Linked DNA regions of Canis lupus familiaris. The protein of the gene in region 1 interacts with the protein of each later gene in a pairwise test. Links are inferred from orthologs where the notes say so. Each region holds a gene or a part of one and is shown in the gene's direction. Other genes may lie near its edges.

Evidence for each region.
Region 2: the proteins of RAD54B (region 1) and RIBC2 interact in a two-hybrid assay, tested with the Homo sapiens proteins (2 studies listed by BioGRID and IntAct). The two-hybrid records come from large-scale screens. The link is inferred for Canis lupus familiaris from reciprocal best matches to the Homo sapiens genes RAD54B and RIBC2.

What each region holds. Positions count from the first base shown.
Region 1 is NC_049250.1:39,849,250-39,852,990, reverse strand, and holds the start of RAD54B (DNA repair and recombination protein RAD54B), read left to right. Parts: upstream 1-1,528; 5' UTR 1,529-1,662; intron 1,663-3,343; exon of another isoform or gene 3,344-3,400; intron 3,401-3,741. UniProt on the Homo sapiens protein: Involved in DNA repair and mitotic recombination. May play an active role in recombination processes in concert with other members of the RAD52 epistasis group.
Region 2 is NC_049231.1:21,585,198-21,588,938, reverse strand, and holds the start of RIBC2 (RIB43A-like with coiled-coils protein 2), read left to right. Parts: upstream 1-1,437; 5' UTR 1,438-1,629; coding exon 1,630-1,743; intron 1,744-3,026; coding exon 3,027-3,108; intron 3,109-3,741. Other genes in the region: SMC1B (structural maintenance of chromosomes protein 1B), read right to left, coding at 1,181-1,289. UniProt on the Homo sapiens protein: Microtubule inner protein (MIP) part of the dynein-decorated doublet microtubules (DMTs) in cilia axoneme, which is required for motile cilia beating.

The sequences.
Region 1 (3,741 bases):
CAAAAATAACCCTAATGTTTGCTGTTATACAACTCAACATCTTTATTTAAAACACTAATTTTGCTAAAATAAAAAACCAAAAAATTTTAACAATTTAGTATGTAAAAAAATGATACAGGGGCACACGGCTAGCAGTTGGTAGAGCATGTGATTCTTGATCCCAAGGTCTGAGTTCAAGTCCCACACTGTGCATATTTCCTTAAAAATAAAATAATATAAAAAAATCTTAAAAATGATACCTTCTCTAGTACAGTTTGGTAAAACTTAGTCTTCTGTAATTTTCACATCTGTTTTAGAGTAAATGGCTTTTTTTGTTTTTGAGAGAGAGTATAATCGGGAAGAAGTAGAGAGAGGAGAGAGTCTTAAAAATAGCCTGGTGCTTAGCCTTCAACATGGGGTTTGATCTCTCAACCCTGAGACCATGGCCTGAGCTGTAATCATGAATGAGATGCTTAACCATCTGAGCCACCCAGGCACCCCTAGAACTAACGGCTTTTGAAAATCATGCTGAATGATGAAAATTGTATTCACTTATTTTAAGTAGGCTGCACACCCAACATGCCCAATGTGGGGTTTGACCTCATAACCCTGAGATCAAGACCTAAGCTGACATCAAGAGTCCAGTGTGCAACCGACTGAGCCACCCAGATGCCCCTGTTCACGCATTTCTAAGTGTTTTGTTTAAACTGGAGTATTCTGATAGATCATACAGTGACACGGTTTGGAGATACTTTTTTTTTTTTTTTATTTATTCATGATAGTTACAGAGAGAGAGAGAGGCAGAGACACAGGCAGAGGGAGAAGCAGACTCCATGCACCGGGAGCCCGACGTGGGATTTGATCCCGGGTCTCCAGGATCACGCCCTGGGCCAAAGGCAGGCGCCAAACCGCTGCGCCACCCAGGGATCCCGGTTTGGAGATACTTTTAAAAAAATATAGATTTTATTTCTTTGAGAGGCAGAGCAAGCATGAGTGGGTGAGCCTGGAACTCAGAGGCCTCAATGCCAGGAGCTGAAACCAAGAGGAGGCTTAACCAACTGAGCCACCCAGGTGCCCCTGGAGATACTTTTGCATTAAAGGCCTAGGACCTGTCTATTTCCTTGCCTTGTCACTATATTAAAGGGTATCAGGCCATTGTTAGTTTGCCGATTTGTGCCAGGCAATTTAAGGGCCTGTATTATTTTAGCAACACTGCTAAAGTCACTTCATTCCTAACGTGCTGCACGATTTAGGAGCTGCGCGGGCAAGGACGTCTGCATACCGTTTCTCCAAGCACAGACCATCCACCTGCAGCGAACACACCTGTGTCGACGTTCCAGATTTAAGCTGTGTGATCTGCTCTAAGATGAGGTCTGTATCCTCAGCTCCTACAGCGGGTGACAGGAGGCCATCAACAAGGAAAGAAATATTTTTTCCAAGTAGATATTTCGGAGCAGGACCACACCTCGGACCCGGACCGCAGGCGCTTACGGGGCCGCGCAGAGACCCGCGCATGCGCAGTCGAGGTCGTGCGAGCGGAGCCGGTGGAGGGCAGTGCGCGTGCGCGGCCGGCTCGCCCGCTATAGGCTGCTCCGAGGCGGGAGCCTTAACCTCCGGGAGGTGACGGGACCTCGGGCGCCGGCTGTCTTGCTGGGACGCGCGGCTTCTGTGGGATCTTCGCCCGTACGTCCTCGGAGGGGGCGGCTTGGGGGGCTGCGGCGGCCTGTGCGGGACGGCGTGGGGAGGGGCGCCGAAGGGGGCCTGCGGGGGCGGAGGGAAGGAAGGCGGCGGAGCGGCGGGGGGAGGGGAGGGGAGGGGTGCGGAGCGACGGGGGACGGAGCCGAAAGGGAAGGGGCGGGGCCGAGTGGGGGCGGAGCTAGAGTGTGAGGGGGAGGGGGCGGAGCTAGAGTGAGGGGCCGAGTGGGGGCGGAGCTAGAGTGTGAGGGGGAGAGGGGGCGGAGCTAGAGTGTGAGGGGAGGGTGAGGGCGGAGCTAGAGTGAGGGGGAGAGAGGGCGGAGCTAGAATGTGAGGGGGAGAGGGGGCGGAGCTAGAGTGTGAGGGGGAGAGTGGGGGCGGGGCTAGAGTGAGGGGCCGAGTGGGGGCGGAGCTAGAGTGTGAGGGGGAGAGGGGGCGGGGCTAGAGTGTGAGGGGAGGGTGAGGGCGGAGCTAGAGTGAGGGGGAGAGAGGGCGGAGCTAAGTGTGAAGGGCCGAGTGGGGGCGGAGCTAGAGTGAGGGCGGGTGGGGGCGGAGCTAGAGTGAGGGGCCGAGTGGGGGCGGAGCTAGAGTGTGAGGGGAGAGTGGGGGCGGAGCTAGAGTGAGGGCGGGTGGGGGCGGAGCTAGAGTGAGGGGCCGAGTGGGGGCGGAGCTAGAGTGTGAGGGGAGAGTGGGGGCGGAGCTAGAGTGAGGGCGGGTGGGGGCGGAGCTAGAGTGAGGGGCCGAGTGGGGGCGGAGCTAGAGTGTGAGGGGAGAGTGGGGGCGGAGCTAGAGTGAGGGGGGCGGAGCTAGAGTGTGAGGGGGAGAGGGGGCGGAACTAGAGTGAGGGGCCGAGTGGGGGCGGAGCTAAAGTGAGGGGCGGGTGGGGGCGGAGCTAGAGTGTGAGGGGGAGAGGGGCGGAGCTAAAGTGAGGGGCCGAGTGGGGGCGGAGCTAGAGTGTGAGGGGGAGAGGGGGCGGAGCTAGAGTGAGGGGGGAGAGGGGGGCGGAGCTAGAATGTGAGGGGGAGAGGGGGCGGAGCTAGAGTGTGAGGGGGAGAGTGGGGGCGGGGCTAGAGTGAGGGGCCGAGTGGGGGCGGGGCTAGAGTGTGAGGGGGAGAGGGGGGCGGAGCTAGAATGTGAGGGGGAGAGGGGGGCGGGGCTAGAGTATGAGGGGAGGGTGGGGGCGGGCTAGAGTGAGGGGCTGAGTGGGGGCGGAGCTAAAGGGGGCGGGGGCGGGAGGGATGGGGCAGGGGCGGGGGGACGGAGCTGAATAGGGCGGGGGCCGAGTGGGGGAGGAGCTAAATGCGGATGCGGGTTGGGGCGGATATAAGATGCGGGGGCGGGGTCGGGATGGAGCTAAGGGGGAGGGTGGGGCGGAGCTGAAGTCTGCGGAGGTGGGGGGGGGTCGGGGTCGGGGTCGGGGGTGGAGCTAAAGTGTGGGGCGGGCGGGTCGGTCGGGGCGGAGCTCATGTGTGCGGGCGGTGGGAGTCGGAGTGGGGGTCGGAGCGGAATGCGAGGCGGGCAGGGTTGGGTTCGGGAGGGATGGGGGTCGGGGTCCGGATCAGAGCTAAAGTGCACGGGGCGGGGGGGGGGGGGGGGGGGGGGGGGGGGGTTGCGGCGTCGGAGGATGGGGACGGGGTCGGGGTCTGGAGGCGGGGCGCGGCCGGTGGGGGTCAAGGCAGTGTCGGGGCCGGAGTTGGAGTGTGCGGTCCGGTGCCAGGAGCATCGGGTGGGGGGGGGGGTCGGGGGCGAGCTGGGGCCGGGGCTGAAGAGTGAGGGTGTCGGGGTCGGGGGGGTCGGGTGGCAGCAGGGTCTTGGCGGTGCGCAGGCCCCAGGGAGGGGCGACCGCGGGCCGGGGGTCTCCCTGCGGGGCCTCCCTGTGGGGCCCGCCCGGTGCTGGGCTGTTTGCCGGGGCCTCCCGAGTTGGCCCGCGGGGCTGGCAGGGTCGGGGCCCCCCCCCCCCCCCCCCCGTGCGTGGGCACCGTGGGCGGCGCGGTCAGGAGCCACGGGGGTCCCGGGGTCCCGGCGGGGCCCGCTGCTGGGGGGGTGGAAGGCGGAGGGCGGGGTCAG
Region 2 (3,741 bases), on another chromosome or scaffold:
CAGAGGGCCAGGGGTGGGGGGCAGAGGGTTGGGGTCCCAGCGGTAGAGGATGGGGTCAGGGTTTGGGGTCCGAGCACTGGAGGGCCGGAGTCCTGAGGAGAGAGTTGGAGTCTGGGTCCTGAGGAGAGGGTTGGGGTCTGGGGTCTGGGCACTGGAGGGCGGGGGTCTGAGGACAGGGTTGGGGTCCTGAGGAGAAGGCTGGGGTCGGTGGTCCAGGTGGCGCGTAGGATGGGAGGTGAGGGCAGAGCATGAGGGTCAGGTCTGGGGTCCAAGTCCTGGAGGGTCAGGGTCCCGAGAAGAGAATTGGGGTCTGAGTCCTGGACAGCAGAGGGCCGGGAGCTGGGGGTGAGGCACGCGGTCGGGGTCCGGGGTCCTGAGGAGAGGGTCGGGGTCCGGGGTCCTGAGGAGAGGGTCGGGGTCCGGGATCCTGAGGAGAGGGTCGGGGTCCGGGGTCCTGAGGAGAGGGTCGGGGTCCGGGATCCTGAGGAGAGGGTCGGGGTCCGGGGTCCTGAGGAGAGGGTCGGGGTCCGGGGTCCTGAGGAGAGGGTCGGGGTCCGGGATCCTGAGGAGAGGGTCGGGGTCCGGGGTCCTGAGGAGAGGGTCGGGGTCCGGGGTCCTGAGGAGAGGGTCGGGGTCCGGGGTCCTGAGGAGAGGGTCGGGGTCCGGGGTCCTGAGGAGAGGGTCGGGGTCCGGGATCCTGAGGAGAGGGTCGGGGTCCGGGGTCCTGAGGAGAGGGTCGGGGTCTGGAATCCTGAGGAGAGGGTCGGGGTCCGGGGTCCTGAGGAGAGGGTCGGGGTCCGGGGTCCTGAGGAGAGGGTCGGGGTCTGGGATCCTGAGGAGAGGGTCGGGGTCCGGGGTCCTGAGGAGAGGGTCGGGGTCCGGGGTCCTGAGGAGAGGGTCGGGGGCCTGAGGAGAGGGTCCCGGGTTCTGAGGAGAGGGTCGGGTCCGGAGTCGGGCCCGGGCGCTGGGGTGGGGCACGCGGTCGGGGTCCGGGCTCGGGGTCGGGGTCGCGGTCCGGGGTCGGGGTCGCGGTCGCGGTCCGGGGTCCCGGGGCGGCGCGGTGGCGGAGGCCCGCGGGTGGCCAACGCCCGAGTCCCGCACCCGAGGCCGCCCTCCGTCCCCTTGGGCCAAATGCGGCCTGGACGAGCGGGGCGGGCAGAGGCTTCAGGGTCCCAGTTACCGGAGCCATTGGGGCCGATGATGCAGGTGAACCTCCTGAAGGGGCCGATGACCTGGTGGCCCCGCCACGACTTAAAGTTCTCCACAAGCAGCACCTCCAGGCGGCCCATGGCTGCGCCCTCCGCGCCTCACGCGTCCTCCTCGCACGCCCGCAGGAAAAGCGCGGGAAGGGCCTCGCGGCGTCTCGCGAGAGGAGAGAGCGCGCCATCCCCACCCCCAGCGGGCGCCGCGCCGTTCCTAAGCAACCAGGTTGTTTACGTCTCCCAGGAAACCGGCCCCCGCGCCCTGCGCCAGGTGGCGGAGAGCCGAACTGAAAAGCTCGCGAAGGGGGCGCGTGTTGCAGCGGAACCAGCCTCTCCTAGGCTACAACTACTTTTATTTTCGTTGTCTTTTTCCCTTTGCACCTCGCAGGCCTTAAAAAACCCGTAGAATTTCTTCGCGATTCCAGTCATGGAGCTAGCGCAGCCCAGGGACCTGGGGCAGGACTTGGCTCTGGGTAAAAGGAGGCACAACGAGCTGTGCAGGCAGAAACGGGTCTTCAACGCCAGGAACCGGATCGTGGGGGTGAGGCCCGCGGGCAGGGAGGGCATGTGCGGGGCGGGGGGTGGCGAGGGCGGCGGGCTGCGGGCGGCGGGAGCGGAGGCGAACCGCGCGGGCGGGGAAACCGCGGATGCAGGCACAGCTGCAAAGGCTGACGGCTCTCCCGGGGAGACGGGTTCCTTGAATGGGCTGCTGACCTCGTGGCGGGGGGAGAGGGGGAGGGAGCCCCTTCACCTGCAGGGCACACCAGATACTGCACTCTCTCACCTGCAGGGCACACCAGACTGCACCCCTTCACCTGCAGGGCACACCAGACGCTGCACCCCTTCACCTGCAGGGCACACCAGACGCTGCGCCTCCTCACCTGTGGGGTACACCAGACACTGCACCCTCTCACCTGCAGGGCACACCAGATACTGCATCCCCTCACCTGCAGGGCACACCAGACGCTGCACCCTCTCACCTGCGGGGCACACCAGATACTGCACCCTCTGACCTGCAGGGCACACCAGATACTGCATCCCCTCACCTCAGCACACCAGACGCTGCACCCTCTCACCTGCAGGGCACAGCAGATACTGCACTCCCTCACCTGCAGGGCACACCAGACACTGCACCCCCTCACCTGCAGGGCACACCAGACACTGCACCCCTTCACCTGCAGGGCACACCAGACACTGCACCCTCTCACCTGCAGGGCACACCAGATACTGCATCCCCTTACCTGCTCAGCAGGAAAATGGAGTCCTGCAGCAGGGAGGGGGCTCGCCTGCACCCACTGGCTCAACGGAGACCTGAGCACATCTCCTTTCCCTGAGCCAGATTTTCTACACTTGCCAGGGGCTCCTTCCAGTCTATTTATTTGTTTTGTGGCAGGTTTTTTTGGGGGGGGGCACAAAAGGAGGAACATGGCAATTCCTGCCTGACCTTGCAGAGTTCATGGCCCAGGAAGGAGAAGAGAGGCAGGCATTAAAACGGTCACATTACTATGCAGTGGAATCAATGCTGTGAGGCAGGGAAGAACATACTGGGTCTGGGGGAGGAAATCAGAGAGGGCTGCCCAGAGGAGGTGTTGCCTAAGCCTGTTCTGAGGACACCTATTAACGAAGAGAAGGGGAGAAGGAAGCTCTGGGGACAGGAGGAAGAACCAACTATAAGCAAAGGCATCCAGGTATCAAAAGACCTGATGTGCACCTAAGACAACTAGTTAACAGTGGAACAAGGCTTTTAAAAAGGTAAGTGGGATTGTTATCAACTGACTAAAACTATCTGGCTGTAACTGGTCTCCCCTTGTTTTCCATTTCCAGGGAGACACAGAAGCCTGGGATATTCAGGTTCGAGACCAGAAGATAAAAGAAGCAACAGAAAAAGCTAGACATGAAACTTTTGGTGAGAATTTGCTGGAGCCTATCTAGCAGTTTAGGGCCGGGTACCTCTAGACTCCAGTTCTCATGTCTTCAAAGATGTAAAACTCATCATTTTCACACTCCTCCTCCTTTTAAAATTTCACCGTTGATTTTATTCAATTAACGTGCTGATTCTTTCTCTCTTCAAAGGAAGACAGCTATTGAATTCTATGTAGGTGGCAGGAAATATATTTTAAGGGTAAATGTACATTTGCATCAGTTTTCTTTAAAAACTGATTATGAGAAACCCTACACACACATCATTCTGTGCCCCAAGGTTCCAGACCTTCTCCTGGGGACAGCTGCTTGCACTAGATGACATGTGCACACTCTCAGCTCACACTCCTGCGTGGATTCAGAGCTAGATATGGTAGTGTGGTAGCTCTGAGATAAAAATCTCAAATAGAATTCACTTTCCCACAGCAGGTACAACAAGTCTAGCTTATTTTTTTTAAGTACCATAAGGATATTTTTAAAAAAGATTTATTCATTTGAGAGAGAGGAGGAGAGAGCAAGAGTGAGTGTGGGGGGAGGAGCAGAAGGGGGAACTCTCAATCCAACTCTGCACCCAGTATGGAGCCCTACTGGGGGCTTGATCTCATGACCCAGAGATAAT